Schizosaccharomyces pombe: one gene and its partners. The protein of the gene in region 3 purifies or fractionates together with the protein of the main gene of each other region. This does not show direct contact. Each region holds a gene or a part of one and is shown on either strand. Other genes may lie near its edges. The genes, in order: gln1, cts1 and hsp104.

Evidence for each region.
Region 1: the proteins of hsp104 (region 3) and gln1 purify together in Schizosaccharomyces pombe (affinity purification with western blotting, with the first as the bait; one study listed by BioGRID). This does not show direct contact.
Region 2: the proteins of hsp104 (region 3) and cts1 purify together in Schizosaccharomyces pombe (affinity purification with western blotting, with the first as the bait; one study listed by BioGRID). This does not show direct contact.

What each region holds. Positions count from the first base shown.
Region 1 is NC_003424.3:1,593,132-1,603,029, forward strand, and holds gln1 (glutamate-ammonia ligase Gln1), read right to left. Parts: upstream 4,934-9,898; 5' UTR 4,441-4,933; coding exon 3,361-4,440; 3' UTR 2,942-3,360; downstream 1-2,941. Other genes in the region: RNA polymerase II nuclear import protein Iwr1, read right to left, coding at 259-649, 739-1,051, 1,141-1,209, 1,263-1,323; signal recognition particle receptor beta subunit Srp102, read left to right, coding at 2,064-2,231, 2,280-2,795; SPOM_SPAC23H4.05C (uncharacterized protein), read left to right, coding at 6,200-6,493; slm3 (tRNA (5-methylaminomethyl-2-thiouridylate)-methyltransferase), read right to left, coding at 8,377-9,462, 9,550-9,611, 9,656-9,755.
Region 2 is NC_003424.3:1,208,653-1,218,645, forward strand, and holds cts1 (CTP synthase Cts1), read right to left. Parts: upstream 4,859-9,993; 5' UTR 4,817-4,858; coding exon 3,553-4,816; intron 3,333-3,552; coding exon 2,794-3,332; 3' UTR 2,543-2,793; downstream 1-2,542. Other genes in the region: ATP-dependent RNA helicase, spliceosomal Prp22, read right to left, coding at 1-1,706, 1,760-1,832; RCC domain-containing protein Ats1, read left to right, coding at 5,074-6,129; ubiquitin conjugating enzyme Ubc6, read right to left, coding at 6,469-6,986, 7,071-7,209, 7,250-7,276; RNA-binding protein Vip1, read left to right, coding at 8,519-9,292; protein mug94, read right to left, coding at 9,669-9,993.
Region 3 is NC_003423.3:3,608,819-3,619,855, reverse strand, and holds hsp104 (heat shock protein Hsp104), read left to right. Parts: upstream 1-4,586; 5' UTR 4,587-4,779; coding exon 4,780-7,497; 3' UTR 7,498-7,591; downstream 7,592-11,037. Other genes in the region: rps1801 (40S ribosomal protein uS13), read left to right, coding at 1-18; pcn1 (DNA polymerase delta processivity factor), read right to left, coding at 2,278-2,979, 3,091-3,171; histone deacetylase, Sirtuin family, NAD-dependent Sir2, read left to right, coding at 8,300-8,483, 8,647-8,709, 8,751-8,833, 8,964-8,995, 9,081-9,517, 9,582-10,210; plasma membrane ZIP zinc transmembrane transporter Zrt1, read right to left, coding at 10,740-11,037. UniProt on the Schizosaccharomyces pombe protein: Required, in concert with Hsp40 and Hsp70 and small Hsps, for the dissociation, resolubilization and refolding of aggregates of damaged proteins after heat or other environmental stresses.

The DNA of each region.
Region 1 (9,898 bases), on a different chromosome or scaffold from region 3:
CTAGGATTTTGCAAGTCACAAAATTGTGGACTCCAAACTCATGAATAACATGGCTCATATTGAATCCTATGATATAACTAAATAGTAATGCTATTAAAATTTACACATATTACCCAGACACAATATAATGTATGAGTTTTTAAAAAATACAATAGAACAATTTACTAAATTCCTGATATAAATTTCTCCAAATAATATCATTCACCTATTAAACTGTAACCGATTTCCATTTTGTTCGTTTTTTTAAGTAGCAAACATCTAATCATAAAAGTCTTGCTCAGCATCATCGGAGTAAGCAAATTCATCATTTTCACTGCTATCTTGCCATTCGTCTTCATCGGGATAGCTATTTTGATAGAAGCTTTCAGCGTTTGAATCCTCATCAATTTCATCATGTAATGGATCATCTTTATCAGAGTCCACTGTCTCGGAGACTAGTTCCTGTTCTAATGAAGAACGAAAAGCGTCTGGGATGGACAAAGCATCAATTACACCATAAGCAAACGTTGGCTTGTTTGGTTCTTTGCTAGATGCTTCATAAATATCGTATACGTAGTCTTCCGTAGATTGCTGAAGAGGAAGGTCTCCATTTGACAAATATTCTTGAATCATAGAATCTAGCTGAGGATGCGGATGATACGTAGTATGTCTATGAATGTTAGTTAAGGTAAAAAAAGCCAAGAGCCAGTTCTTATAACAACAGAACTAAGTAATTGACTCTATTTGATGTTGACATACCCTTGTTCGACACGGATAGCGTCGAACACTCTATTACTTTGAGTAGAAGGTAAATTCTGAATTGTATAGCGTGGGGATGAGAAAGAAAGAATACCTTTTGTATTTTCACGGGATCCCAAGTCCATGTGCGTAGGTGCTTTCACAACGTCTTCAGAAGTTTGGACGACAGGGATTCCGTAATTGTTCTTTTTTAGAGATGATATTTTTGTATGACTGTGGATATTTCGAACGTCTTCATGAGTGGGTTCCGAAGATTCATCATTTATCTGAATATACCGATCATCTTGCTTCAGCGTTTGTGATAGTTTAAAATCTAGAAACTGTCAATAAAAGGTAATTGTGTTTTTCAAATGATTAGTCCTTGTGTAATATTCCAACACAAAAGCTCAAGAAGTAGCATACAATATCGTCCGGCGAATTTCCTTCTTTTCGTACTTGAAACAGAATTTGGATTGTTTCCAAGTTCCAAATCTAAATTATTAAGGAGTTAGATAAAGAAAGTTTACTTAGAAGCTTGGTCGTACATAGGGCGTTAACAGGATCTTCTGAAGCTTTACGCTTAACTCGAAGTACTGGAAGAGGCATCTTCGTATCACAATTTAATAACGAGAGTTAGACGACTCTTTAAAAAAGGAATTAATATAACCAGCAAAATCTACGGTTGGGGGATGGCAAGTCTGCAATGTAAAAAAGGTAGATATAAAAGTAGCTCTTCGACTGAAAGACAGCAACTTCAGTATAACTTGGATTGAAGTAGTATTACAACAACGCAATCTTATCTTTCAAAATGTAAAATATTCTATAGTTTTATTATTTTAAAATAAAAAATCGTGAAGTTCATTATTTATATCATTGTCATCACTTAACAAAAAGAACTTTTCTATAATAAATAATGTTGAGCAAACAATGAAGCAAAAATATTCAATAAGTCTAATTACACAAATTCACAACTTAAAGATGCCCCACAACAATTAATTCCACTCAAAAGAACCGATGATATAAATGTATACTTTGACGATTAACAAAGATTGGTCTAATCAAGCAATTATCTCATGTAATACATTCAGGAAAAATGTATTTTGTATTGTTTTAATTAAATTCAAAAGAGGGTACAGTCAATCTCTACTGCTGCAATCTGTACGAGAATTGTCTTTTTTAAACAAAACTTCGAGAACTAGTTTGGATGCTTTTTTTTTTTTTTTTTTTTTTCACATTTATTTCTCTCTTCTGAAAAATATATCTTAATCAACGATCGTATGAAAATGAGGTCTTTGTAACATTTGACATATATCTTCTACACACCCAACTGGTACCAACAACAGCATATGGATGGAACTTCTCAAGCTTTTAAAATTATTGTAGCTACAATAATTATAGGAGCTATTATATCTACCCTAGGAATTTTTTTTACTAGAAAGACAATTCAAAAGAAGTTACCAGCAGTGTTTTTAATTGGACCTAGCGATTCTGGAAAAACGTCTTTGTTTTGTGAGGTATAACAATAATATACAATCTTTGAATACTTATTAACTGTTATATAGCTAATTTATAAAGAAAAGAAAACTACAGTTCCTAGCATTGAACCTAATGAAGCTGTGTGGAAATATGGTGCTTGGTTAGTAGATCTTCCAGGGCATCCCAGGGCCAAACGTTGGATTACTACTAAATTCTCTGGAAATTATAATGTAAAAGCTGTAGTTTTCGTTCTCAACAGTGCTACAATTGACAGGGATGTGCACGAGGTTGGATTGATGTTGTTTGACACAATTTTAAAATGTCGCAAGCATCATGTCCCTCATCTATTAATTGCCTGTAATAAATTTGATCTTTTTACTGCTCAACCTGCGGAAAAAATTCAACAATTGTTAAAAGCTGAACTGCACAATATTTTGGAAGAGAAAAATCTTCAACTCGAATCTATAGTCTCTGAAGATGTCGATTGGGAATCAGTTGCAGATCAGATTGAAGATACTGATCTTAAATTCCTTCCTGGCAGCGTTGCAAAAATGTCGAACATTGAAGAATGGATTTCATGGATGGAATCAGCTTTACAATAAAGATGCATTAATTATTCACAATTGATAATTTACAAGTAACCAACCAAAAAAGATATATTTTTGCATGTCTAGAATAAGCTATCGTTTTATTTCAAAAATTCGTAATCTTGTGTGAATACTGTAAAATACTTAAAAAAATTAACAGGGTTGTTGACAAACTGATTCGTAAAGTACTTGTACTTAGGGACAGCTTGGGTAAAAAAAAACAAGAGAAACATTAATATTAGTATAAGAATATCAAGAAAAGAACAATCCAAGGTTGTATCAAAGCCTCACATACGCAATGAAAACACTCTTGATCATTATAAGAAGGTGAGCAACAAGCTCAGTTGATAAATGGTGATACTTTAAAAAAATGACTGCAACGAATGCATCATATGAAATATTCTAAAAAAAGATAAACATCACAAAAAAGTGAAGCTGATAAACAAAATTACTACACAACAAACTCATTAAGTCCTACAAACAAAAACGTGATATTATAAAAACTTAAACACATATTTCAAAATGGTTAATAACTGGGTGGTCGACGTGACCTGCACGTTAAATTATGAGGGAAAATTGTCTAATGCTCAAACATGGTCTCAGTGATGATACCAGTGACGAGGTAAGGATCGATGGAAGAAGCAGGACGACGATCCTCAAAGTAGCCGCAACCATTCATGGCGACAGAACGGGGGATACGAACGGATGCACCACGATCGGCAACACCATAAGTGAACTTATCGATTGAACCAGTTTCATGACGACCGGTAAGACGCAAGTCGTTGTCGTCACCATAAACAGCAATGTGCTCCTTATGGCGTTTGGCAAACTTCTCGAGATAAGACTCAATAGCTTTTATACCACCTTCAGCACGAGTGTCCTTAGTAGAAACGTTAGTGTGGCAACCAGCACCATTCCAGTCACCCAAAATTGGCTTGGGGTGGAAGGAGATTTTGACACCAAAATCTTCGGCAATGCGGTGAAGAAGGAAACGAGACATCCAGAGTTGGTCACCCATTTCAATACCAGCGCAAGGGCCGACTTGGTATTCCCATTGGGAAGGCATAACCTCAGCATTGATACCGGAAATGTTGATACCAGCGTAAAGACAAGCCTTGTAATGGGCCTCAACGATGTCACGAGCAAAGACGCGGCCAGTACCAACACCGCAGTAGAAAGGACCTTGAGGACCAGGGAAACCACCCTTAGGCCAGCCAAAGGGACGGTCATAGTAGTCCAACATGGTATATTCTTGTTCAATACCAAACCAAGTTTCTTTGTCAGCGTGCTTCTCCAACAACTTGGCGCAAGCGTCACGATGGTTGAAGCCGTTGGGAGAGCCATCAGCGGTGTAGCAAGCAGCGAGAACGAGAATGTTGTCACCGCGACGGAAGGGATCATTGTACATGGCAACAGGCTTCAAAAGAGTGTCAGAATTGTTGCCGGGGGCCTGACCGGTGGAAGAGCCGTCAAAGTTCCAAACGCGCAATTGGTCAATAGAGGAAGGCTTGGCATCGAGAGTCATGGTCTTGCTACGAAGATGGTTGAAACCATCGATCCAGATGTACTCAGCCATAACCTTACCATTTTGAGGAAGATCGGCATACTTGTTTAAAATAGCAGCCTTGGAGAGAAGAGGTTCAACGTCGTATTGAGACATATTGAAAGTAAAAGGGAAAAAAAAGGTAGAAAAACAAAAGATAAAAAAAAACGAAAGTCTAGAGAACGGAAATTTGAAAACTAGCAACAGAAGAAAACCCCGTTACAAAACAATAGATCGATTACTGTAAACCAGGATTAACAAAATTTGTCAACGATCGAAAAACCGAGATAAGGATATCGAACGAAGTATATTAATGAAGAATAAAAAAAAAGTAACTTTAAACCAAGGCAACAATTATACCGAGTTTAATCTAAATTACCGTGTAGAGAAGAAGAAAACCCCCCAAAAAAAATTTATATGTATAAAATAAAATATGTGTAGGAGCGTGAATTATATATGTTACTAGTAAAAGCAAATATATAACAGCGTTTTTTTCGTTTTACACAATCAAATCTTTCTTTACAAATCTAGAAGAAAGAAAGCCGAACAAACGAAACGAAACGAAACAAAAAAGGGTGGAAATTTTTTTTTGGCTTCGAAAATGTTATTTGGAGAAGAGTAAGGTGACTCGCGCCTTCACTTTATATACCACGACCGGTTAATTGCACCTCGTCCTCCAACACTCCGTTAACGAGGAAACCGGCGTAGATAAAGAGTTTGGGGTAAGGGTTGCAATAGATGGGCAGCATTTGATTGGGGGGTTCTTGTCCAGAATGCAAGATATCACAGATGATTGGAAGTATGGGCCAATCATGGAGCGAATGAATGATATGGAAGATAATTTATCTAGAATGATTGGCGGAAAAGGCGCCTAAAGATAGTGCCAGGGATCGCCTTTTTTCCATTTTTTTATCATGAATTAACCCGGAAAAGCTGGACACCGCAAGTCATCGTTGCTGCAATTACGGAGATTTTCGGAGCGCGTAAAGAGCGAGAGAGAGAGCAGGCTGGGTATGATGGGTGCTCATGTGTTCGCTTGCATGTATGAGCAAAGCAAAGGGAGAGTTGATACACACACACACACACACAGAAAGAGAGAGAGATATAGAGAACGAGGATATCAGTTTAAAGAAATGAAGCTTCATAACGAGTTGCCTTGAAGATATACATTGCTATTACTACGATTGCATGTTGTGTAATTAAAATTAACAAGGTGTCATTGTAAATAATCAGTTTATCTCAAATGTGTGATAGTCTAAATTTACTTTTGCTACTAAGTAGGTAATTAGGTTGGGTTGCTTTATCTCTAGGTAGGCAGTTCTTCGTTGGTATTCTAGATACCCCAACCAAGTGTGGACGTATGCGACGATGATAATAGTGGATAGGAAAGCTAGACGCTGACTATTCAGCGTGTTTTAATTTTAATTTTTTTTTTTTTAGATGAGGAGGGGCTTCTTATCAGGATTCAATGAAGCTATGTGTTGCCAGCTGTTGACTAGACTAACATTGAAGTAACAATACCAGGGCACGACAAGTTCCATCAAGGGCATGTCTTAACACAGTCAATATGAGTGAGGTTAGCAATAAGAACGAGGTTAACAAAAACTGTAGAATGAAAACAAAGAGTAGCGCAACAAAATAGAGAAGAGCGATAGGGTCGCTGAGATATTGTTAATGCATTCATATAGTCAAACGATGGATAGAAACGAAAAGATTGCTGATAAATCGCATGGATCTTTGCAAATTTATTTTACAAGCTAATTTCAGTTGCGCGCAAAAAAAAAGTAAATAAATAGATTTAAAGAAAAAAAAAACAGAAATATAATAAAAATAAAGTAAAAAAAAAAAAAAAAAAAAATAGAAAATAAAATGCTATATGCTTCTCCATGGACTGGGCCGCATGAATATCATATTCATCTGTTTTCCCTCTCTTGCTTGCCTCTTGACATCTCGGACTCCATTGTGCGCTCCCTTGTTTTCCCACTTGGATGGCATGACACCATGCCCCATCGATTGCGGTTTTGCCGTGGGGCGTTCCCGTGGAGGCGGCTTTGGGGGTAAACCTGAAAGCAATTCGTTACACTACGATACAATGCATAAGCAACATGCGATGCCCTTCTTTATAATAAACCCGACAGAATGGAAGCGAAATTTTTGCAACACCGGATAAACTAGAGCGCGCAAATCAAATAACATCAATTTCCAATGAAACATGTTAATCCAAAAATTTCCTTTTATTTTACCAGGGTGTCATAAACTACGACTACGACTATAAATACAACTATTTGGGCTAAACGACTCTGATTCAGGCGAAAATATTCGCACAAATTTCTTCCATTCAGTTGATACTTACGACAAGGCGAGGAAATGAAACCCACCAAGAATCGCTACTTCGGCGTCGTCGTTTGGTACTTTTTTCACTACCGTCCTCCATCAGTCTTTTTGTTCCATGAGAGCTCCACGGTAAGAACTTGGTAAAAGGATAGGATGGTTAAACAGGTTTGTTCAAGTACTTCTTCTCCTATGCGTTTTCCGGATGTTTACATTTCAAAAATTGATTAAAATTCTTAAACCACTTTGATTTCTTGCTCCATGATTGCTATGATTGCTGTCACGTAATGAAACAGTTTACTATTATACCTTTTTTACTGGTATTTACTATAAACGAATATTTTTTTGGGGGGTTAAGCTGACAAATTATCCAAACATCGTAAAATCAAAATCACCTTTAGTTCAAAATCGCACACTCCCCCACTTGGTTTAGCTTCACTCTGAGCTCCTTAGATCTCATCAACTAGCATGTACCAATATCAGTACTGTGTGGGGGCATAATCTACGGTATAACGAACTACAGATTAACTACATCAATGCGATATGTGGGATAGAGTAGCTTCAGTGGGGGCGGTCCTACCTTTTAATTTTAGCAGCTTCCACGCAAGCAAGCGAAAAAAAATTAAACATAACGATTTGTAGCACTAACTTCATTATAAGATAGTCTGATTCTGTTGTTATCTTTCACTATTCAATAAACAATAAACAATGGCCCCATAGTCGCAACCTTCAAAAAACACAAAAAAATCGAGAATTTCTTTAATAGACGATTAGAATTTGCCAAAAAAATTGGTAATGTATCTAAAAATTTTTTGGTGCATGCTCGTTTCTAGCAGTAACCACAGTAGTGCATGCTTTACTATTGACAAAGTAAACTCCTCTATACTATCACTTTACATTGGTATGTTTTAAACTATATCTTCTAGACCTATAAAATGAATGTTCTTTTTTCAAAAACAATAGAAATTTGAGTGCTTTTGCAAATTTAAATCAATTAGCTTTTATAGAATACGCTGTATGTATCTATCTATTTTATACATTTATTAAAGCTCTTAACAAAGTGCAACGTGGCACTTCATGTAGGAAACAAATTGATAACATGCTTGGTTTATTGTCCCATTCAAAAGGATCCTAGCTTTTTATTAGCTACTTTTATCAGATATCGTTATAGCAAAAAGTTTTTTTCCGAGTATAAAATTATTCAAGTGTACCAGATAAATTGCGGTTTGAATATAGTACCATTCTTAGTAAGAACAAACTACGACGATATGTGGGGTTAAGGAGTTTGGTTATGATTCGCACTGTAAACGTGATTTGCATTGTAATCGGTTTGTAATTTGAAGATAATCGAACTTATCAACCCCTTTTAAAATCGGATTTTCGAAAACCTCTACTTCTCAGAAAAACAAACTGCAGCACCAGTTTACCACCATAACATACTTCCTAATTCTCAATTACTGGAATGGGCGTACATATAAATGGTTAGAACTAACACTATTAACACCTTATTTGTCATTTTTTGGTAAATAGTGAAAAAGTGAAGGTATAAGCATAATCTGTTTGAAGCAAATCAAGTCCAACTGTAATAATTATTTTTCAGTAAATCACATACCAAAGATTCTTACTCACATTAATAAAAAAACTTCTTTTCATTTTATTTCTATCCTCTAGAATTTTTTTTTTTGAATAACTAGCTGGTCGTTTATTTTAATAAAACACTCATCAATCAAAATCTTTTTCAGGTTCTACAGTATCAACCATCCCTCCACCCAAGCAAACATCGTTTACATACACGGCAATGACTTGACCAGGAGTAACGGCTCGTTGTTTATCTTGAAAATGTATTTTAACACTTTCAGGGTTCCTCCAAGTCACCTTAGCTGGTTGTAATGGCTGTTGATGGCGTACCCTTACAAAACATGAAAGAGCACTTTTTTCAAGGTTTTGTAACTTAGTACCACACCACTTCCAATCTTTTAAATAAATGCATTTACTCATTAATAGTTCATTATTCGTTCCACGGCATATGTACAGTGCATTATTTTTAATATCCTTTTTCCATACATACCATCTCCCAAAGTATTCAGATTGAGCTTGTGGTAAACTCAGTCCACAGCGTTCACCAACAGTAAGGCTCCATATTCCATGATTTCCTGAAAACTCTCCAACGACATTTTTTCCTGCAATGACTTTTATCGGCCTATCAGAAAAATTCAAATATCTCTGAAGGAATTTTCTGAATTTTCTCCCTACATTTGGCGAAACAAAACAGAGTCCTTGACTTTCTTGCTTTTCAGCAATTTCTTTGAAGCCTGCAGAACTTGCTTGCTTTTTCACGTTCTCTTTCGTCCAATTATGTAGAGGAAAAATGGTTTTTTCTAAAGCTTCTTTGCGGATTGTGCATAAAAATAAAGTCTGATCTTTACGCTTGTCAGTCGGAATACACATGTGGGATTCGTTGGTCTCAATATTAACAACCGATTTTGCATAATGACCAGAAGCCAGCCACCAGTCACCCTTGACATTATTTTCACAATGTTTTTTCAATGCGTCGAACAACGCTCCAAATTTTACCTGTCGGTTACAAGATACATCTGGGTTGGGAGTTAATCCATTTTCATACAGATCTAGACTAGGCTCAAATACGAGATTCCAATACTCTTTTTCGAAATTAAACCGTCTACACGATATATTGAGCTTCTTACAAACCTTTTGGACTGTTGCCCAATCTCTTTCAGCAGGGCAACCAGAAGGCGCGGAGTCCTCATCTAACCAATTACGCATAAAAACACCTTCCACATTATATCCCTAAACCAAAGTTTAGTAATAAGTTTCAAAAATCTTTCACATCAAAGCATTTCTCTTTTAGAGTCAATTTAAAGAATTGCGAATTACCTGACTTTTTAGTAAATACGCCGAAAAACTAGAGTCCACGCCTCCCGACATAGCTACAAATACTTAAAAACATTATTAGACATTTTAGCTTAAAAAATAAACGAACCTTTATCCTGCGATTTGGGCCATTGTAAACGTGTAGAATGAGGTTGAAACGCCTTTGAGCATTCTATGATTTGCTTTTGTAGAAAAAGTGAAACCCTCATATATGATTTATCAGATTTTAACTACCCACATGTAACAATTTACCAAACCAAAAAAAACCTTTCTAGCGCAACATAGGGGGAAAAGTGTAGCTATGTTCGCTATGGGTGATGAATTTACGAGAACAGTCAGTATACTCCTAATA
Region 2 (9,993 bases), on a different chromosome or scaffold from region 3:
ACGAATAGTGTAACCAACCTCTTCACCAACACGACATCCCACTTCTTCTGCTACACGTTTGGCAACAGACATTGCAGCTACACGCCTAGGTTGAGTACAACCTATCATTTTGCTATCACTGGTATAACCTTCTTCAGCAAGATATTGAGTGATTTGAGTGGTCTTACCGGAACCGGTTTCACCGAGTAGAACCAAAATTTGGTTTTTTGAGACAGCCTCGAGAAACTGTTTACGAAGTTTAAAAACTGGAAGACCCTCTCTTTGCTCTTTCATGCTCAGTGTTGTTCTTTTACCGTAGGATATATTTGCATTTCGTGTTGCTTGACGCCAGCTGGGAGTTTCAGAAGTAAGTTGACGAGCAGCTGAGTCTCGCACATCTTGGGCAAATTTCCGATCCTGAGGATTCGACATAGTGTCTTGCCATGAGAGGGATAAGTCTTGCTTTTCCATTTCTTGTTCACTCTTTAATTTTGCCTCCTTTTGTCTTATTTCTCGTCTATCATTTGCTAAAATCTGCCCTTGCATTGCTGCTCTGGACAATGAACCATCCGGGGCCTTTACAACTTTTATAGGAGATAGCTTTAATGAAACTTTGGTTTGTCCTGCGAGAAATCCAGGTTCTTCTTCACGAAGTTCGATTTCTACGTCTTCATCATCTTCGGGATTAATTTCCGCAGCATTATTAGTATTGAATCCATCGTTGAGTTCAGGAATATCCGTAGCGGAAATTGCACCGGATGCAGCAAGTTGCTGTAACTCCCATATTTCAGGTGATGTTAAACGCTTCCGACCGTTTGAAGTGAACGTTTCAAGTGGATTCACATGTCCAATTTCAGAATTTTGGGCTGATAATGGAATAGCGTTTGCTCCACTACCCTTCTTTGTAGAACGTGAAACTTGATCCGGATTCAAATCCTCACCTGTAACTTGATTCACCTCCTTCATTGACAGGCTGATTCGCTTTGCTGATTCATCAATTCTAATAACTTTTACAAATACAGGTTGTCCATAGCTAACAGCCTCTGAAGGATGATCCAATCTCCCATTTAATTGGATATTTGAGATATGAACCAAACCATCAGTTCTCTTTCTAAAGCCGTCCAAAGTTACAAAGGCACCAAAGTCCTTAATACCTGAGACAACACCAGAATAAATTCCATACAATGTTGGAGCATTTAGCAATGGACCACGCGATGATCGACTAGAATGTGATTGACCAGAAATTGAGGTACGTGAATGATGCGAAAAACTGGGACTAATTGATCTCTCTCTACGTTCCCTTATTCCATTGAGGTAATGCCGCTCATCCCTCCTAGAATCCCTATCGTTTCTCCTTGTTTTGGCCAACGTCGAAAGTTCTTCCAGCTCGTCCATAGCATTATCCATAAGCGCTGGTCTATCCCTTAAATTATTCGTGCTATTTGGGATGCTTAAGCCAGGAAACATCTTTCTTTGGTGTTGTTTGTCAACATCTTTGCTATCTAAATCATGCGAAGCTCCATTGACCGAGTTACTACCATTATTTACATTATCAGTGGGAATGTCATCTTTAGGCTTAATTTCCTTAATTAATCGACTTATGTTTTGAAGGAAACTGTCGGTGAATTCTCCTCCACATGAAAGGACATTATTTTTAAACTCATCGTAATTCTTAGACTGATCATGCAAATTAATAATAAATTCTGCAAGAGTATTATCGTCAATTCCTAGATTTGGTTAATTATTTATAAAAAAATGAGTATTAAAGCCTACTACTTACCAGTATGATTTCGAATTTCAGAGGCAACTTTAGATACCAAGGATAAATACTCCAATTCTTTCAGATCGTCCATTATTGTCTTTTCTCCCACTAGGATTCACTAAAAATTAAATCGAAGTTTGAAGAAGACTTTCAAAATTGCTCCATACCAAACATAGGTGTATGGTTAAAAATGAAACGCGTGCAATAGACAATCGCGTTTCCTAACTTTGTACAAATAAATATTCATGGCTGTCAACGCAACGAGTTGCGCCAAAGGCAAATAAGGTAGCTGAATTACAGTTCGTTATAATAATGTCGAGGCTCTACTTATTATTTGAACTTTGAGTCCGTGTTGTTTACAATAGGAACTGGGGTGAGTTTCGTACCTTATTAAGAAATAATTTTTGCAACTTGAATGTTTAATTACTGTCAAAGTTTACGTAAGGTATTTCTAGAATGTTTTAATGGCTAAATCAATGACAGGGCGTAGCGAATATAAAAATATATAAGTCTATCTACAGTTTTCAACGATTGATACGTACTGAAGTGCTTTTTGCAAGTATGCTTGTACACTTGACATATTTATTACCTATGCAAATCAACGTAAATACTTTAATAGCGCTTTTCGAAAAGTATCGATCTATATTAATACAGTACTACGGCACCTCATATGCTAATAGATTTATGTCATTTGTACTGTATTTTAAACACAGTATTTGCATGCATTGTTACAGAGCCTCTGTGATTAACTCACACGTAATGAGCATTCAAAACGCATTACTCTAAATGTCTACAATATAATAACCGTAAAAATGGCTCAGAAGTTCTGAGAGTCATTTCATATCTCTAGATAGTCTCTATAACGTTAAGCTTAATTAGACTAACGGTTCAGTTGCAAAATTACTGGATACATCAAAAGAAAGCTTTTGAGCAGAACAACAATTGATAAATAGTGTCAACACCCCAGAACCCAATTTTTCCTATAGATAAAGAAAAACACACCAACAAACACACATTATTTCCTAATTCCCGGAATCCCATATAACCTACTTCTAACTGATGGTGACGACAGTGGCTTCTTCAGTAACTTCAACAGAGTCATTCATGTCAGCTAAGGCAGATTCAGCGTTAAAATGAGAAAAGTTGCTCCATTCGACTTCCTCACCAGACTGAATAAATTCATCCAACAAGCCAGCACTGGCCGCAACCAATCCAAAAATCGGTGGGGAGGGCTTAAGTGGCTTAGATAAATATTCAGGATGGTATTGTACGCCAACAAAGTAAGGATGGTCACGTTTCTCAATAATTTCCATACGCTCACCACGTTCATCTTTTCCGATGAAAGAAATTCCACCTTGTTCCAAACGGCTTACAAACGCAGGATTTATTTCATATCTATGACGATGTCTTTCCAAAACTTCATCAACCATCTTATGAAGTTTACGAAGTTTACTCCATTCGGAATTGGGTTGGAAAAAGGTAGGTCTCAATCCCAAACGCATAGTTCCACCCAGTTTATCCTTATCAATCTCAGGCATATAAACAACAACATTGTTTTCGCATTCCTTATCGAATTCTTCAGAAAATGCACCTAGAAATGTTAGTTAAAAATCTTTTGAAAGAAGCAAAATAAAAAATATGCTCCAATTAATAATAACTGTTTAACTATTCATGTAGCACTTGTCTACAGTTAGAGTCAACGGAAAATGACAAAAACCTCTAGTAAGTGCATGGAATCTATAGATCCCAAAAATAATAGAAGGCAGTTAAAAATTTAAAATGGAGTCCAATAAAAGCATCAAAAAACATACCTTCAATTCCACAAACACTTCTCGCGAATTCAATAACGGCAACTTGCATACCAAGGCAAATGCCCAAGTAGGGTGTATTATTTTCACGAGCCCACTTGGCTGCGGCAATCATCCCTTCGACACCGCGAGAGCCGAATCCGCCAGGCACTAGGATACCATTGGCAGAACAGACTAAATGCCATGCCTTATGGTAACTAAGTGGGTCACTAGTATTTGTACTAGCTTCCAAATGAGAAGCTTCTACCCATTGGAGGTCAAGTTTACGACCACAGCGCATAGCAGAGTGCTCCAATGCTTTGATGACTGATATATAGGAATCTTGAAGATGAGTGTATTTTCCTACGAGGACGATGGTGACCTTCTTGAAAAGATGATCGTATCCCTGTGTTAAATGTTTCCACGAGCTCCACATATTCTCGCCTGCGAGAGCGAGTTCGCGAGATACACTTATCTTATCCAGTGCGAAACGAATTTTCAAATATTCCAATAGCTTGTCTTCAAGCAGTTGAGGAACGTGATATGTACTAGAGACATCATGCACAGCTAGCACCTGTTCGGGACCAACATGACAGAAAAGAGAAATTTTATCAATCACAGATTTCTCAAGAGGTTGTTTACAGCGGCAAGCAATCAAGTCTGGAGTAATGCCCAAGCTACGCAAATCACGAATTGCTTGTTGAGTAGGCTTAGTTTTCTGCTCGCCATTAATTACAGGGACAAGAGAAACATGGATTGATACAAAGTTTTCATGACCCACACGAAATTGAAATTGACGCATGGCCTCCACAAAAGCAGCAGACTCGATATCGCCAACCGTACCACCGAGTTCAACAATACAAACATCTGGTTCTTCACCACTTTGATCAACTGGAATTCGAGCAACACGCTCCACCCAGTCTTGAATTTCATTCGTAACATGAGGAACAATTTGCACTGTTTTTCCAAGATAATCACCGCGACGTTCCTTCTGAATGACATTAGAATACACTTTTCCAGTTGTAATATTGTTATCATGGGTTAATGTAACATTAAGATAGCGCTCATAGTTTCCAAGATCCAAATCGACTTCACCGCCATCATTCAAAACAAAAACTTCCCCATGTTCAAGGGGAGACATAGTGCCAGCATCAATATTCATGTAAGGGTCAATCTTGATGCTAGTAACTTTCAATCCTAGGGTTTTTAGCAGTAATCCAGTGGAAGAGGCAATTACACCTTTTCCAATACCACTAATAACACCTCCAGATACTAAAACGTACTTCATATTGGCTGTCCCCTGATGTTTGCTCCAAAGTTGGTGGTACGTGGAGGAGAGAAAAATTAGGTTGCTAACAAATTTTTAAGCGCTGGCGAAAATTTTTTTAAGAGAAAATCGTTACCACAAATATAAATCGAAATGATAGGAATTTCCAAATAATGTATTTCACATTATTCTAAAAATTAAAAACTAATCGTACTGAAGATGAAATTTTACAAACCTCCATTGTGCCACCACTTTAGAAACCCACAACTAATATTTCTATGCTGCTATCTTTAGGTTCAAATGGTAACTTCCAACTTGGTTTGAACAATGATGAGGATGTTTACAGCCCACAGATAGTGCCATTTGACCGTGCAATTGAAAAAATCTCATGTGGTGGAAACCACACCCTATTGTTAGATGAGGATTCTCAACTATGGGCTTGTGGTGATAATCGCAAGGGACAATGTGGATATGAAGTGAAAGAACCTCTTTACAATCCCCTAAGTCCAGACTATTTACGGATATTCACCCGTGTTAGTCATGAGCGTTGGGTTTTCCTGACTTGTGGTTGGGAATTCAGCGTTATAGTACATGCTGATCGAAGACGTGTTTGTTCATGTGGTGAAGGACTTTCCGGTGAATTGGGTCAAGGGAATCGCAGTAATAGTCAAGGTTTGAGGGAAATTGACATTCCTTACCTTGACGATAAAGAGTTCATTATTGATATCTCGGCTGGATTAAGACACTGGATTTGTGTTACAAATGAAGGGAACTTGTATGGTTGTGGAGATGGCCGCAAAGGACAACTTGGACCGGTAGTTATGAAAACAGTTAACAAGGTTTCATTTCTCGGGCGTATTGAACATGCTCAAGCTGTTGTATGTGGTGTACAGTTCAGTGCAGTATTGCAAGAAACAGGACATGTAATTGTTTTAGGAGGGGAGAAGTGGAATGTAGCAGCAGAATGTGATGCTTGGCAAGCAAATAACAGTGAATTGTCTTCTTCCATCTGCTCTATATCAGCAAACTGGTCTACCTTGAGTCTATTAAGTACTGAAGGCTGTGTCTATGCTTTTGGTCGTTGTGATCGTGCTCAGAAGGCCCATACAAAAGCAAGTGATATCGTCCAAATCGCCAGTGGAACTGAGCACAATATTTTAAGGACAAAGAAAGGAAGTGTTTTAATATACGGTTGGAATGAGCATGGAAATGCCTCGAATGATGATAAAAGAGATGTTTATGATGCAAAAACTCTTCAATTACCAGGCTGGGCCTATATTGTGGCCGCTGGATATGCAACGAGTTGGATAGTGATTGAAGAAAATCACAAATAATGAATTGAGTAACTAAAATTTAATTTTATTTTCTACCGAAATGTCGAAGCTTTAATAACATTTGACGACATTTAAAAAAATGTAGTTTAGTAAGCTAAAAATCAAGCAATTGCTAAGAGACAATTGTCTATAAAAAGAAACTAGAACAAAGATTAACTTCCATTTAGTTTTAATTGAAGCGCGACATGTGATGCAGAGATGAAGGGGCAACAGGCAACGAAAGAAAAAAAATAAACATATAAGGACGGCAAAGCGCTATTTGGCATTAATCTCTTTATCGGAGGATCAAATGCAAAAACGCTTTCATAAGTTAATAAAATAAATACAAAGCATAACATCTTAAGAATCAGCTCCAAAAAAACGAGCTAAAGCAAGGGCAAAAAACACCAAAACTGCTATGCTCCAGCGACTTTTAACCCAGCTTTGCTTTGAATTAAACGGTTCATTCTTCTTGCATTCATTGGAAGATACAGGAGTGGAGTGAATTTGTTGGGGTTCGATTAGGGCCGCTTCAGCAGCTGCTTTGGCAATGTCTTCCCTATTTTTGTCAATTAACTCGGGGAACATTATTAAGAATTTAGGATTATCCATAATGTTAAATCTCTTCGTATCCTTTGCGTAAGTTCTCCTGGTAGACTCCGAAGTTACAATACCTCCAGTGGTAATCTCATCAGAAGTCATGAAAGAAACGAGTCCCACCAGAATAGTAGAAACCATCCATGAGGGATTCCAGGATTTTGGATGGAAGTCAGAAAAAGAAAGACAAAGTCTGGTATTCGTTTGGAAACGTCCGCTTGGAGTAATCATGCGAATTGCAGGTGGCTTAAAAGGATAATCGGGAGGAAAAATCAATGTCCCTGTACGCAAAGTTAGCAAAGGATGGCAACAGCCAAAAGTTCATGCACATATTGATTACAGAAGGAAATTTAAAAGAAACATACCATGATATTGTCCTCCTTCATATGGAGTGTCCGGAGGGCCAGTGATAATATAATGCCATTCCAAAATGTTTTCAGTTGCAGGTTTAGCGTCAACAAGCTCAACAGGGTTTTTCTGAAGAGCTAGATATTCTTTCATTAACTAAAATAATTAGAAGAAGCTTAAAATTATAAATCCATACCCGTTTATAAGCACCTTTCGACGCCATCGTTGTGTTTGTGAAGTTTGTGGAAGTGAGAAAACATGTAACCATATAATCCGCTCACAGTTACATTACCAGGTTAGCGGCTAGTTAGGTGATTCTTGTCTTTTACAAATTCAAAGCACAATCTCTACTAGACTAAGTGTCTTTGTAGGTTAATCAATATAAAACACCAACAAACTCCGAGGTGAGGTGCCAACTTCAAGTACAACGGTTTATTCAAATCACCAATTCGTAAATATAACACAGTTACTTGTAAAAGAGGTTTTCATTTCTATCTTTTGTAGCAATATACCTATGATATTTATGATATTTTATTTTCTCTATACGCAGCTTAAGCCCAAATGTAAAATATAAATATTGTTAACCTATGTACATTGAGGAAGTAAGATCGAGAAAATAGATTAAAAAATGCTTTGAAGCAAGGAAAGCCTTTAACTTATCTTTGTTTTACTTATTGTAGGTCTAACATTTATATTTCTCTTGCCTTCTCAATATACCTGATAATTTTGCTCATTATTCAATAAGAAACAATTTGGATGACTAACATGAGAAAAGGAACAAGCGAGGTAATCTATTCATATATTTCTTTCGCATTCTTTAGAAAGACCGTAAAGGCGATCCAGCAAATTCGGTTTTCTAGAAACATCAGTTTTCACTGTCCGGATATGCCGATATCGGGAAAATTAATGTCGGTCCTAAGTTTATGAATTTATCGAAACATAGTAGAAGCGGAAATTACTTCGTAATAGCAATTTAATGGATATTTTTTCCACAATTTATGCACTTTGCCATGCAACGAACAAAGCCAACTAGTATACCAAGTCAAGAAATCATGAGTACAGCAAAGTATCTAAGTGTTATCCTATTTAGTTTACAGTGACCAATAAAAATTGTATCGTGATATTCAGATAAAAAGATAATTGTCATCTATTTTCAGCTTCATTTTGATTTAGGCTCACTTATCGCGATAATTGCAATCTTTTGAAAACACACGTTCATTAATGTAATATCAGATTTAAAGTATGAAGTAGTGGCATTAACAAAGCAGCACAAAGTCAACTTTCCGTGATATAGGCTAAGGGCAAGTTAGAAATGTCAGGAAATTTTGCATTTTTGTGGTTTTTTCGTTGGGCTCAATCTAATCGTAATTGGGAGGATGTCGTCATCGATGATCACTACTTAAAAGCAGCCTCCATGGCACTCAACGTACTTTGAATCTCCATATTACCAGTTGAAACAAAAGTAATGAGCAACCAAGTTATTGTAACGAACATCTCTCCTGAAGTTACTGAGAAACAAATCTCAGACTTCTTTTCTTTCTGCGGTAAAGTGTCCAACATCTCTACCGAGAAATCTGGAGAAACCCAAACCGCGAAAATCCAATTTGAACGCCCTAGCGCCACCAAGACGGCCTTACTTTTGCAAGATGCTCTCCTTGGACAAAACAAAATCCAAATCACCAGTGAAGATGGTGGTGCTGCTTCTACTACCGATCAAGGAGGTGCTGGAGGCGATCAAGCCGCTCGTCAAGAAGACAAGCCTCGTTCAGCTATAATCTCTGAACTTTTAAGTCGCGGATATCATTTGAGCGATGTAACTTTGGAAAAGAGTATTCAACTAGACCAAAGCTATGGCGTTTCTTCAAAATTCAAGGGGATCCTCGAGTCTGCTTTGTCTGGCGTTCGTTCTGTTAACGAACGTTATCATGTCACCGAAAAGGCCAATGAGGTTGATAATAAATTTGCCATTTCTGACAAATTGAACCGCACCTCTTCTTTGGTTAGCACATATTTCCACAAAGCTCTTGAAACTGCTGCTGGCACTTCTGCCGGACAAAAGGTTCAAAATGCCTATGAAGATGGTAAAAACCAGTTGCTTGGCATCCACAACGAAGCTCGTAGGCTTGCTGATGCCAAAAACCAAGCTGAAGGTACGGCTTCCCCAGCTTCTAGCACTCCTACTGCCCCTGCTGAGAAGGAGCCTACTGCTCCCACCACTGAGTCAAAGACCACTGAGTAAATTATAGTACCTTGTTGTTATTCTTTTCAGATGGTTGTAATGATTCAGTGTATTATCGATTATTATTATAATTAATGCTTTCATTGAAGTTTTTATTGTTATTTATATAAGATACGCTGATATTTATCTCCCATTAATCGGAAAATTGCTGTCTATATTCCCTATGATGTTATCAATATTGAAGGAAAAAGGAGTATGTTTGTAGTTTGTAATTTGTTTTGGCTTAACGAGTACATACATTTTTATTTGGCATGTTTTGGAGTGAAACCTATGAAAGATAACGATAGTATTAAGATATATATAAGTAGTTTTCATCATCATTTATATTTGGATGCAATTCATGTATCCATCTTTTAGCAGAAATTTGTCGTAATCATCACGCTGATGCTAAAAACGTTGAGTTGCACAGAAAACAAGTATAGAAGAATCGCGGTCCCCGATTGCCTTGCAGAACAGGTGAAAAATCAATCCTTGGGAAATTTCGCCATTTTGCAAATAACTGATAAGTCAGCAGTTCGATACAGTGCTGCTCCATGCATAAGGGACAGCAAACGTAATTGCTTCTTTGACCAGGTAAACCATTATTTTGTACTAACGACATATACACCAATTTTGAATCGTGGTTGCATCTTTGAGATGGCAAACCGTTATTATGTGCTAACGAATTGTTTAGCAATTTAATCATTTGGTTGCTTTTACTG
Region 3 (11,037 bases):
GTCTCTAAGAAGAAGTAAAATAAGTAAAATGATTAGCCTAATATTACTTGGATAATAAATTTCCATTATTCTTGCAAATTATAGTTTTCTGATTCTTTAAAACATCTTGCTTTATTTTGTATATTGAAAAAAATTAGGTGGATTTGTGATTTCTCATCAAATATTACACTACAATTTATTCTGATATAGAAATATATAAAAAACAGTAAATATTATTCAACATATTCAACCAACATGATTGATACTGACGCATCGACCTAAGAACCTTTATTATAACCCTACCTGAAACCACAGAAAATTAGACTTCTAATATAATTATTTGAAACGAGATAAATCCAAACTTTTAACTTCGCGCTTCAATACTCGTTGTTTTTTACTTTGTGGCACTGGTGCTTTTACATTTTCTTGAACGTAAAATTCGCGCATTAACATCACAGCTTCAGAGTAAAATAACCCTGGATAAACTGGATAGCTCGGATCAATAGATTGGCTGTCATAAATCGTAAGCAAAAACGAACTGATAAATTCACATACTCCTTGTTAATGGAAAATACGCTTCCACATCCGCCAAACCTATCGTTGCCGCATCCAAAATACACGGCTTTTATGTGAAGCTGTTTTAATGCAGCAGCACACATTAGACACGGTTCAACAGTCACGTATAAAGTGGTTTCTTTGAAAACAGATGCTGGGTAGTGTTCTAAAATTTTTTCTATAGCGATAAGTTCAGCATGTCGAATCCCCTTTATCATCGTCAGCAAAGGCATATTAAAATAAGGCTTACCGAGAGGCTGCAGTTAGTTTCATTAAAACCACGGCCTATTACTTCTCCTTTATATACAAAGACGCAACTACCGGGACTTCTCGGTTGGATAACGAAGTACGGGCCTAAATTTAGGACTTTTAGTTGTTAATATGTAGGAAATTGAGCTTACCATTTCATGCGCCAACTTCATATATGTTTCATGCTGAGTATCATATTTCACCGTATTTGATGAACTTGTTTTGTTCATTTCCGCGAGGATATCTTGAAGATGTTGGCTTACAAAAAGTAGGGCTGTGTCAATGTTTTCTTTTTGAGGGAGTATAATATCAGCGTTCTCTCGAGTCTTCCAATAATTAGTATACAACAGCAAATAAGAGTTTAACATACTGGATGAATCGAAGAGTCGTATGCAGGTTTAGACAAAGTTACAAACTAAAAGAAATTAGAATAAACCTAGAAGAAAAACCCTTACATCGTTCAAAACTTTGGTTAAGTCTCCTTTTTCTGCTTTGACCCTCTGTAAAACGCAGCGTTCCAAACGAGTATCTGCATCTTCATATACAAAAATTTTAGACGTATAGTAGGGCAGCAATTCGGGAAGAAGAAGATAGTAACCTTCGATTAGAATAATTCTATTCTGGTCTACAGGTAGCTTTATACAAGAACCATCTGGCAAACATATTTTCTCGGCTCCTTGAGAAATCAAAGAAAGAACTTTTTTAAACGCTTCAATATCGTAAGAGGAAAGTGCATACCTGTCGACAGAATTGGGATAAAGAAATGAAGTAAGATGGATCAATTTAGAAAAAGTTGAAGGTGCTGATGACTTTAAACGTTCAAGTAATTGCTCACAGAGTTGTGTCTAGTATTAAAGTATTAGAATTAAGAAAAAAATATTTTAATAAAATACCTTTCCAGAAAAAGGACCCCCAGCAATCCCAATGATTGCACTTTTCACACTATCTCCTGCCATAGTATATTCAACGCTAAAAATTTCAAATATAGCCAAATAGTAAAATATATAAATTATTACGAAAAGTTGGCAGTATAGAGAGTAAGGAATTCTATCTTCTTTAAGTAACTTTTACGCCTTGCTGCTACTGGTGGTAGCGTTGGTAGTATTTGGGCGAACTGTCCCTCCGAGGCTCTTACGCGGTTAGCCATATAAGTATACAATTATCAGTTAGAATAAATTCTCAGAATTAAGCTAATTTACATATCAATGTATTATATCATGTACTAGACTTAAATCAACAAGCTACAGCAGATGATTACGAAGTTATCTGTGAAAAATCATCACTAAGAACACAAGTTTTTCTACCCTTCAGTTTGTTGGTTCTAAAGAATTTGATTTTTTTTAAGTAAAAGCTGGTATTTTGCCTGTTTGGATATGAATGTTAGGGAAGGAGCAGTACAAAAAAGGTTGAATTAAAAAGTAAACAAAAGTATGTTTATAATGATGCTAGCTCGTCAATTGCAAAGAGATTACTAAAAGATATTGATTCCGTAATCTACTCCTCATCCTCCTCACCAATTTTTGGGGCAAGATAAAATCGTAAAAATCCGGATTCCATTTTATACTCCACAAGAAGTGGAACATCATTGCTCATTGAAAGTGTGACTCGGGTAGCTAAAGGAGTAGCCTTAGTGAACTGGGCTAAATATTTCAAAGAAAACGTAAGTGTTACAGCTTGGGTAAGAGAAATTTCGATACTTTGATCTTGGTCAGAAAGATCGGTATGTTGTTTCAGCGTGGTACTACCATTACCAATATCTCCCTTGCAGCTAAAACGAACACCCTCTTTACTAGCATTGATTGTTACTGAATCACTCAAAGTTAATAAATCTCGAGTAATGCGTTGAAATTCGGCAGCAGGCATAGTAATAGTAGCATCGTATTCGATATCTGGTATACCCAAGTGTTCTTGATCAATGTCCATTAATTTAACATCATAATCAGAGATCCTGTCATTTTTCTCGCTCTCGAAAACCAAATTCAATACCTCAGGTGTATCTTCAGCCTTTAAAGTAACCAAATCCTCGTTTTGGGCACACCGTAAGACCTTTGATAAGGCGTTCAGATTTATACCTAAAGCAATATTTCTATCACACCGATATGGTTCAAATCCATCTGATTTAATAAGCATAGAAACAAGGGCTACATGAGAACTATCCATAGCCTGCAGAGAGATACCGTTGTCATTGCAATCAAACTGTTATGAGGTTAGAGAATCATTCAAAAGAAGTTAATAAATATATTTTTTTTAAAAAAAAGAAAGGCTTTGTCGTTGAGCATCTTTATTTATATGCTGCCCCTTACATACATTAGCATCTGTAACTAACTCCTTGATGGCATCGAGAAGCTTTTTCAACAAAGCAGCCTGCTGAAATCTAGCTTCAAGCATAGTCGTAATTATATTTTATACAAGCTAGATAAGAGATATAAAGAATAGCTAACAAAGGTTACTGCAAAAACCTTTTGTAGTTGGCTTTTGGGAAGTAGTCAAAGAGCGCGTAGCACAGAATAGTGTGCGTAAAATTGCTAGCTGACAACGTAAAAAATCTCAAGAACCTTTCATATATGAGACCAAAATAGCAGTTCACGTTATTATAATTTGTTTTGTTATTTTTTTTATTTTTACAATAGCAAGTAATTTCGTCCGTACTTTTTAGATGCGTTTGATATGAAATATTATACAAAATTATGGAAAACTAACTGAAAAAATAGTATTTGCATGTTACTATGAAATTTTTATCTTTCGTTTGCTGTACTAATTCACGGTTCTATTTATGTCTTTTTAAAGAAGCAATATTCAGTTATCGAAATTTTCTAGCTATACGGATTATAATAAGCCAAATGTAATCAGCGAGTCATTACAATTTACGGCGTAAACTAGGAGAGCTTTCGCGTTCTACCTTAATATACTTTCCAGGATCAAATAAAATTTAGGCTACACTAATGTATCAAGTAAATTGTACATTTTCCATATTAGCTGCTACCGAAATTTATTAACTTATTTTCACGTTGCAATGACATATAAAATGATTGAAAAAAACGTTATTTTAATTGGTATTAACACGGAAAACTTAAAACGAATTTTATTGCTGGTTTAAATAAGACTAAAGAGGTATGAAAATAAGAATGAAGTATACTTGTTCGCTAAGGAAAAAATATGTATTCACAACAAATTCATTCGTTTTTTTTTCTTCTCAATATTCGTAGATTACAGTTACGTTAACAAGAATTCACTGTTGGTTTGTTTAGTTTATAAACCACTATGGTCAAGTAACTAAAGTTCGTTAAATGTCATTACGACGAATAATCGCTACCGTATAGAATAAGTAATGTAAGAGCTCTATCTTAGAAATAGCTTGGAAATATGACTAGAATCTCTGTAATAGAAGAACTATGTATCAAAAAATTATTTATTCAGTCATTGATGAATTCTAACGGTATTTAGCAAGATGCAATTGAGAATAAGTTGAGGTTAGTATCCGTCTTTACGTTGTTCCATACACTACGTAATACGCAGATCATTTCCGGGTTTCGAGTATTCCATGTTTAAAGACAATTCAAAGACTTTTAAGGTAACTGCATTTTTAATTTACACCGGTTTTTTTTTAAGCTATTTTTCTCTTATTTTTTTAAATCTTCTAGTCATGTCTTTGGGATTTACCCTACTTTATCCCTTTCTTTTTCTAGAGTGTAGGAGTAGGTTCGAGTAACAATGTAACTGGCATCTTCTGGTATGTTCCTTTCCTTCCCATAGTAACATCATCGTGTATATATATGCACAGCTTCTCTACCTGCGGCATCCTCAACCATCAATCTATAACCGAAGAATTTATTATAATAACGATATTAAGTTCTTATTAAATCGAACTGAAAACCGTATATATTTACCGTTCAACGACTCTCTCTTTTTTGTTTTATAACGAGCGACAAATATACAATTCCTTTTTTTTGGATTTATCTATAAATTATAAAAATTCCTATAATAATATAACTCGATATGGCTGATTATCCTTTTACTGACAAAGCCGCAAAGACATTGTCTGATGCGTACTCAATTGCACAATCTTATGGTCATTCACAATTAACCCCTATTCACATTGCTGCTGCTCTTTTGTCCGACAGTGACAGTAACGGTACTACCTTACTGCGCACCATCGTCGACAAAGCTGGTGGTGATGGTCAAAAGTTTGAGCGAAGTGTTACTAGTCGGTTAGTTCGCTTGCCTGCTCAGGATCCACCTCCAGAACAAGTGACTCTGTCACCTGAAAGTGCGAAACTGCTGCGAAATGCTCATGAACTTCAAAAAACACAAAAAGATTCTTACATTGCTCAAGATCATTTTATCGCTGTGTTCACTAAAGACGACACGCTAAAGAGTTTATTGGCAGAAGCCGGTGTCACCCCGAAAGCGTTTGAATTTGCTGTAAATAACGTCCGTGGTAATAAAAGAATCGATTCAAAGAATGCCGAGGAAGGATTTGATGCACTAAATAAATTTACTGTTGATCTTACAGAGCTCGCTAGAAATGGTCAACTGGATCCAGTTATCGGACGTGAAGATGAAATTCGTCGTACAATTCGCGTACTTTCTAGAAGAACGAAAAATAATCCAGTTCTTATTGGTGAGCCTGGTGTAGGTAAGACCTCCATTGCTGAAGGACTTGCTCGTCGTATAATTGACGATGATGTCCCCGCTAATCTTTCGAATTGTAAGCTTCTCAGCCTGGACGTCGGAAGCTTAGTTGCCGGCTCCAAATTTCGTGGTGAATTTGAAGAGCGTATCAAATCTGTTTTAAAAGAAGTTGAAGAAAGTGAAACTCCCATTATTTTATTCGTAGATGAAATGCATCTTTTAATGGGCGCAGGTTCCGGTGGTGAAGGTGGCATGGACGCTGCCAATTTGCTGAAGCCAATGCTTGCACGTGGTAAGCTTCACTGTATTGGTGCTACTACTTTGGCTGAATACAAGAAATACATCGAAAAAGATGCTGCTTTCGAACGTAGATTCCAAATCATCTTGGTAAAAGAGCCTTCTATTGAAGATACGATTTCTATCCTTCGTGGTCTTAAAGAAAAGTATGAGGTTCATCATGGTGTTACTATCTCTGACCGTGCCTTGGTTACTGCTGCCCATCTCGCTTCCCGGTACCTAACTTCTCGTCGTCTTCCAGATTCTGCCATCGACTTGGTCGATGAAGCTGCGGCTGCAGTTCGTGTTACTCGTGAATCTCAGCCCGAAGTTCTTGATAACCTTGAGAGAAAGCTTCGACAACTCCGCGTTGAAATTCGTGCTTTAGAGCGTGAGAAGGACGAAGCTTCCAAAGAACGTCTCAAGGCTGCTCGTAAAGAGGCTGAACAAGTGGAAGAAGAAACAAGACCTATTCGTGAGAAGTATGAATTAGAAAAGTCTCGTGGAAGTGAACTTCAAGATGCTAAGCGTCGTCTTGATGAGTTGAAGGCTAAGGCTGAGGATGCCGAGCGTCGTAATGATTTCACTCTTGCTGCTGATTTGAAATACTATGGTATTCCTGATTTGCAAAAACGTATTGAATATTTAGAGCAACAAAAAAGAAAGGCTGATGCAGAAGCGATTGCAAACGCTCAACCAGGCTCAGAACCTTTACTTATTGACGTAGTTGGGCCCGATCAAATCAACGAAATCGTTGCAAGGTGGACTGGTATTCCGGTTACTCGTTTGAAGACAACTGAAAAGGAACGACTCCTTAACATGGAGAAGGTTCTCAGTAAACAAGTAATTGGTCAAAATGAAGCAGTTACTGCAGTTGCAAACGCCATTCGCTTATCTCGTGCTGGTCTTTCTGATCCTAATCAACCAATCGCATCTTTCTTGTTTTGCGGTCCTTCCGGTACTGGTAAGACTTTATTGACAAAGGCATTGGCATCATTTATGTTTGATGATGAAAATGCAATGATTCGTATTGACATGTCTGAATACATGGAAAAACACTCTGTTTCACGTCTCATTGGAGCACCACCCGGTTATGTTGGACATGAAGCTGGTGGACAGCTTACTGAACAACTTCGTCGACGACCTTACTCCGTCATCTTGTTTGACGAGATTGAAAAGGCTGCTCCAGAAGTATTGACTGTACTTTTGCAGGTACTAGATGATGGACGTATCACTAGTGGCCAAGGCCAGGTTGTTGATGCCAAGAATGCTGTTATCATTATGACTTCTAACTTGGGCGCTGAATACTTGACAACAGACAATGAGTCTGATGATGGAAAGATAGATAGTACCACTCGGGAAATGGTTATGAACTCGATTCGTGGCTTCTTCCGTCCCGAATTTTTGAATCGTATCTCTTCAATCGTTATCTTTAATCGTCTGCGTCGTGTGGATATCCGCAATATTGTCGAAAATCGTATATTAGAGGTTCAGAAACGGCTTCAATCCAATCATCGCTCAATTAAAATCGAGGTTAGCGACGAAGCTAAAGACCTTCTTGGAAGCGCTGGTTATTCCCCTGCTTATGGTGCAAGACCTTTGAACCGTGTCATTCAAAATCAAGTTTTGAATCCCATGGCTGTCTTAATTTTGAATGGCCAGCTTCGCGATAAGGAGACTGCTCATGTCGTAGTCCAAAATGGCAAGATATTTGTCAAACCAAATCATGAAGCTAATGCAAACGGCTCTGCTGATATTGACATGGATGGTATTGACGACGATGTTAATGATGAAGAATTGGAATAAATGTATTTCAAATGAGAAAGTTCTAACGATACTTTATGATATAGTTTAATGATATGCTTAATCTTAATATATTTTATTTATTTATAAAAATATAGTATATAAACTTTTTAGGAAGTACTGTTTTCTCATTAAAATGTTCAATGAACTTTATCGAATAGATAGAATCAATTTAACAAAAGCTAAGTACATCGTTTTTAGTTATTAGCAATTCAAGTATGATGAAACATTGAATCTTAAATTTATCAAATAATCCATTGTTATTTACGAAAAACCTCCATTTATTTTAGTAGGTATTAATTAATGCAGTCCATTCAAGAAAGTCGAGCTTGTAAGAAAGTGCTCGTAATTCCTTATAAAATCAAAGCAGAATTAGCTCTCATACTTTTAGTAGATTTTAAATTGAATTTACATGATTAACTTTAACATTTGGTAAATCACTATCATATCATTTCATTACTTTCTACACTTGCGCATTGCATACTAATACGCATTCCAGTTCTCATGGTTCAAAGCAACGTTTAAATTAACAAGTTGTATAGTTAAACTTATACAGTGCTTTGCTTCTAATAGCCATTATTACCAGGAAATAACGAGATCACAGTTGCCCGCATACCATTAAGCTAACGAAACTTTACTGCACTAAACAAGAGACTAGCTTTTCGTAATTGTAATAAGACTTATCGAAAAGTTGAACCAGAGATCTTCAGTTCAGTAGATCATTGCCTTTCTCAAACGAAGCTTTAATTTATACTTCCTTAAAAATAATTGATTAGTCATATTTTCATGTTATACAAACTCTGTCATGGCTTCCAATCCGCTAGATAATAATATGCCGACGACTCCCGTTGAGGAAAAAATTCCAGTCGCTAGTTATTCTCCTAGCTCTTCTGGTAGTAGTTCCGGTGCTAGTTTACTAGTAGATATTATGTGCGGCAGTAAAGAAACTGAGGATGAAGAGGTTGATTCTGATGAATGGGATAAACCAGGTATGAATATCAACTATTAACTCCAATACCTTCAAGGGTACGCGCAAGTCTATTTGAATTTACAAAATTTACAATTGATCAACGATTTTGAGTTCAGGTTAGCTATGTGCTTTTCATATACTTTAGTTTATTTTAATTATTTAAAAAGTTAACGATTCCTTAGAAACAGAAAACATAAGTGATTTGGATGAACGATCCGAAATGGTCAGATATTTAAGGGCTTCAGGTAAGGAGTTACTTAATTTACATTTTAACTAGTATTTGTAGGCTATGCGAAATTCTTGGAGAAATATTTAATAGAAGAAGAGTTGCCTGTACGATCGATTTTAAAAAAACTTGGAATCAATTTGGTATGCTTACTGATTTATAACTTGCATTACATTAAATTAGCAGATTATTTTTGTTAAATTGCAATAATAATTTGGTCTACTGCATGTTTTGTTTTCTTATGACTTTACCTAGATTTATTAACGTAAATAGCCTAGTGCACTTGAAGAGTTTGAAGACATAGAGTATGCTTTTCTTTAACTTCCTTCTTATCTTTTTATCTTTTATTTTTTAAAATATCTGCTATCGATATACTAACGTGCTAATTAGTTTACTTCCTTTGCTGAAGGAAGTTTTAAAACGTGAGGTTGCTAGGAGAATCAAACTTCCACATTTTAATACCTTTGAAGATGTTGTTAATTTATTGAAAAAAGCTAAAAATGTTGTCGTCCTTGTTGGGGCAGGCATAAGTACAAGTTTGGGAATTTTAGATTTCCGTTCAGACAATGGTTTTTATGCCCGTTTGGCACGCCATGGATTATCGGAACCTTCTGAAATGTTTGATATCCATACGTTTAGAGAAAATCCAGAAATTTTTTATACTTTTGCTAGAGATCTTTTGCCGGAGACGAATCATTATTCCCCCTCGCATGCCTTCATTAGATTGCTTGAAAAGAAGAATAAATTATCAACATTGTTTACCCAAAATATAGACAATTTGGAAAAAAAGACTGGACTCTCCGATAACAAAATTATTCAATGTCATGGTAAGTATTTATTTTCCGATTTGCATCTCGAGCACTGGTGATTTTGTCTAATTTGATTATATAGGGTCTTTTGCTACCGCAACTTGTATCAAATGCAAGCACAAGGTGGATGGATCGGAGTTATATGAAGACATAAGAAATCAAAGAGTTTCTTACTGCAATGAATGCGGAAAACCACCCTTAAAATTAAGAAGAGTCGGTCAAAATAAAAAAGAGAAACATTATTTTTCAGATGGTGATAGTGAATCTTCTGAAGATGATCTAGCTCAACCTGGGATTATGAAACCTGATATCACATTTTTTGGGGAAGCCTTACCGGATTCTTTCTTTAACAAAGTCGGGAGTGGTGAGCTTGAAGAGACTGATTTATTAATTTGTATTGGAACTTCTTTAAAAGTGGCTCCTGTTTCAGAACTCATCAGTGTTATTCCTCCTACTACTCCTCAGATTTACATTTCGAGGACTCCTGTTCGTCATACCCAATTCGATGTAAATTTTCTAAGTCCTTATTGTGATTGGGTTATTGTGGAGATTTGTAAACGTGCTGGATGGCTGAATGAATTACAAGCGCTTTGCGATTTACCTGAGTGTCATAGTGGTTCCAAAACGCGAGCTTTCGAAACGGATTTGGATATAAAATTTGAGGAGCCCAGCACCTATCATATCACGAGCACAACAAACGGTAGTTGTTAATTTTAGGACTGATCGATCTATCGAAGTTGAATGTAGAAGCAAATATATTATATACATATATCGAGTATGAGAGCCAGATTATTGGACATTAACTTATTATCCGTTTGAGACTTCTTAGTTTTGTAAGTGCCATTGTTAAAAACTGTTTTTTCTCTTCGCACCTAATGTTTAAATCTGCTAAACTGGGTGAAAACACATTAAAACAAGTTATAATACATTTTACAATACCAAGGACTGTGTAATTAGTAAATGAACATTGAAGCAAATTACATTCATAGGCTATGCAAAATTAGCTACTTTTTTAAGCATAGTAAATCAGTGAAAATGACACAATTATTATTTAAAATTGAAAGATTGATTGGTACATATCAATACAACCAATGAAGCATCTAATTGTACGATACTAAAGAGAAACAACTGAAAACGGACAATTAGAAATTGGTCAACGATATTGACACTCAAACTCAAAAGAAGAAAACAGATTTAATGAAGAATATAAAATGCACGGATCATCGAAAAAGCCACCAAATCAAGCCCATTTACCTAACAAAGCCATAACTCCAGTACCAGCCATCGAGCATGCCAAAAGGTAAATAAGCTTATACCAGTTACGTTCTCTTTCAGGACTAAATAAGAAATCGTGTGCAAGTAATTCCACTAAACCAGCATAAACCAAAATTCCAGATGAGATAGCATCCAAAACACCTTGGGCAGCATAAGACCCATGAGCAAGAGGATCCCAATGCTCACGAACACCTAAACCAGCTGCCATACCAATAGGCGTAACCAACGAATAGATAACGCCCAACACCCAAGGTACCCATGCA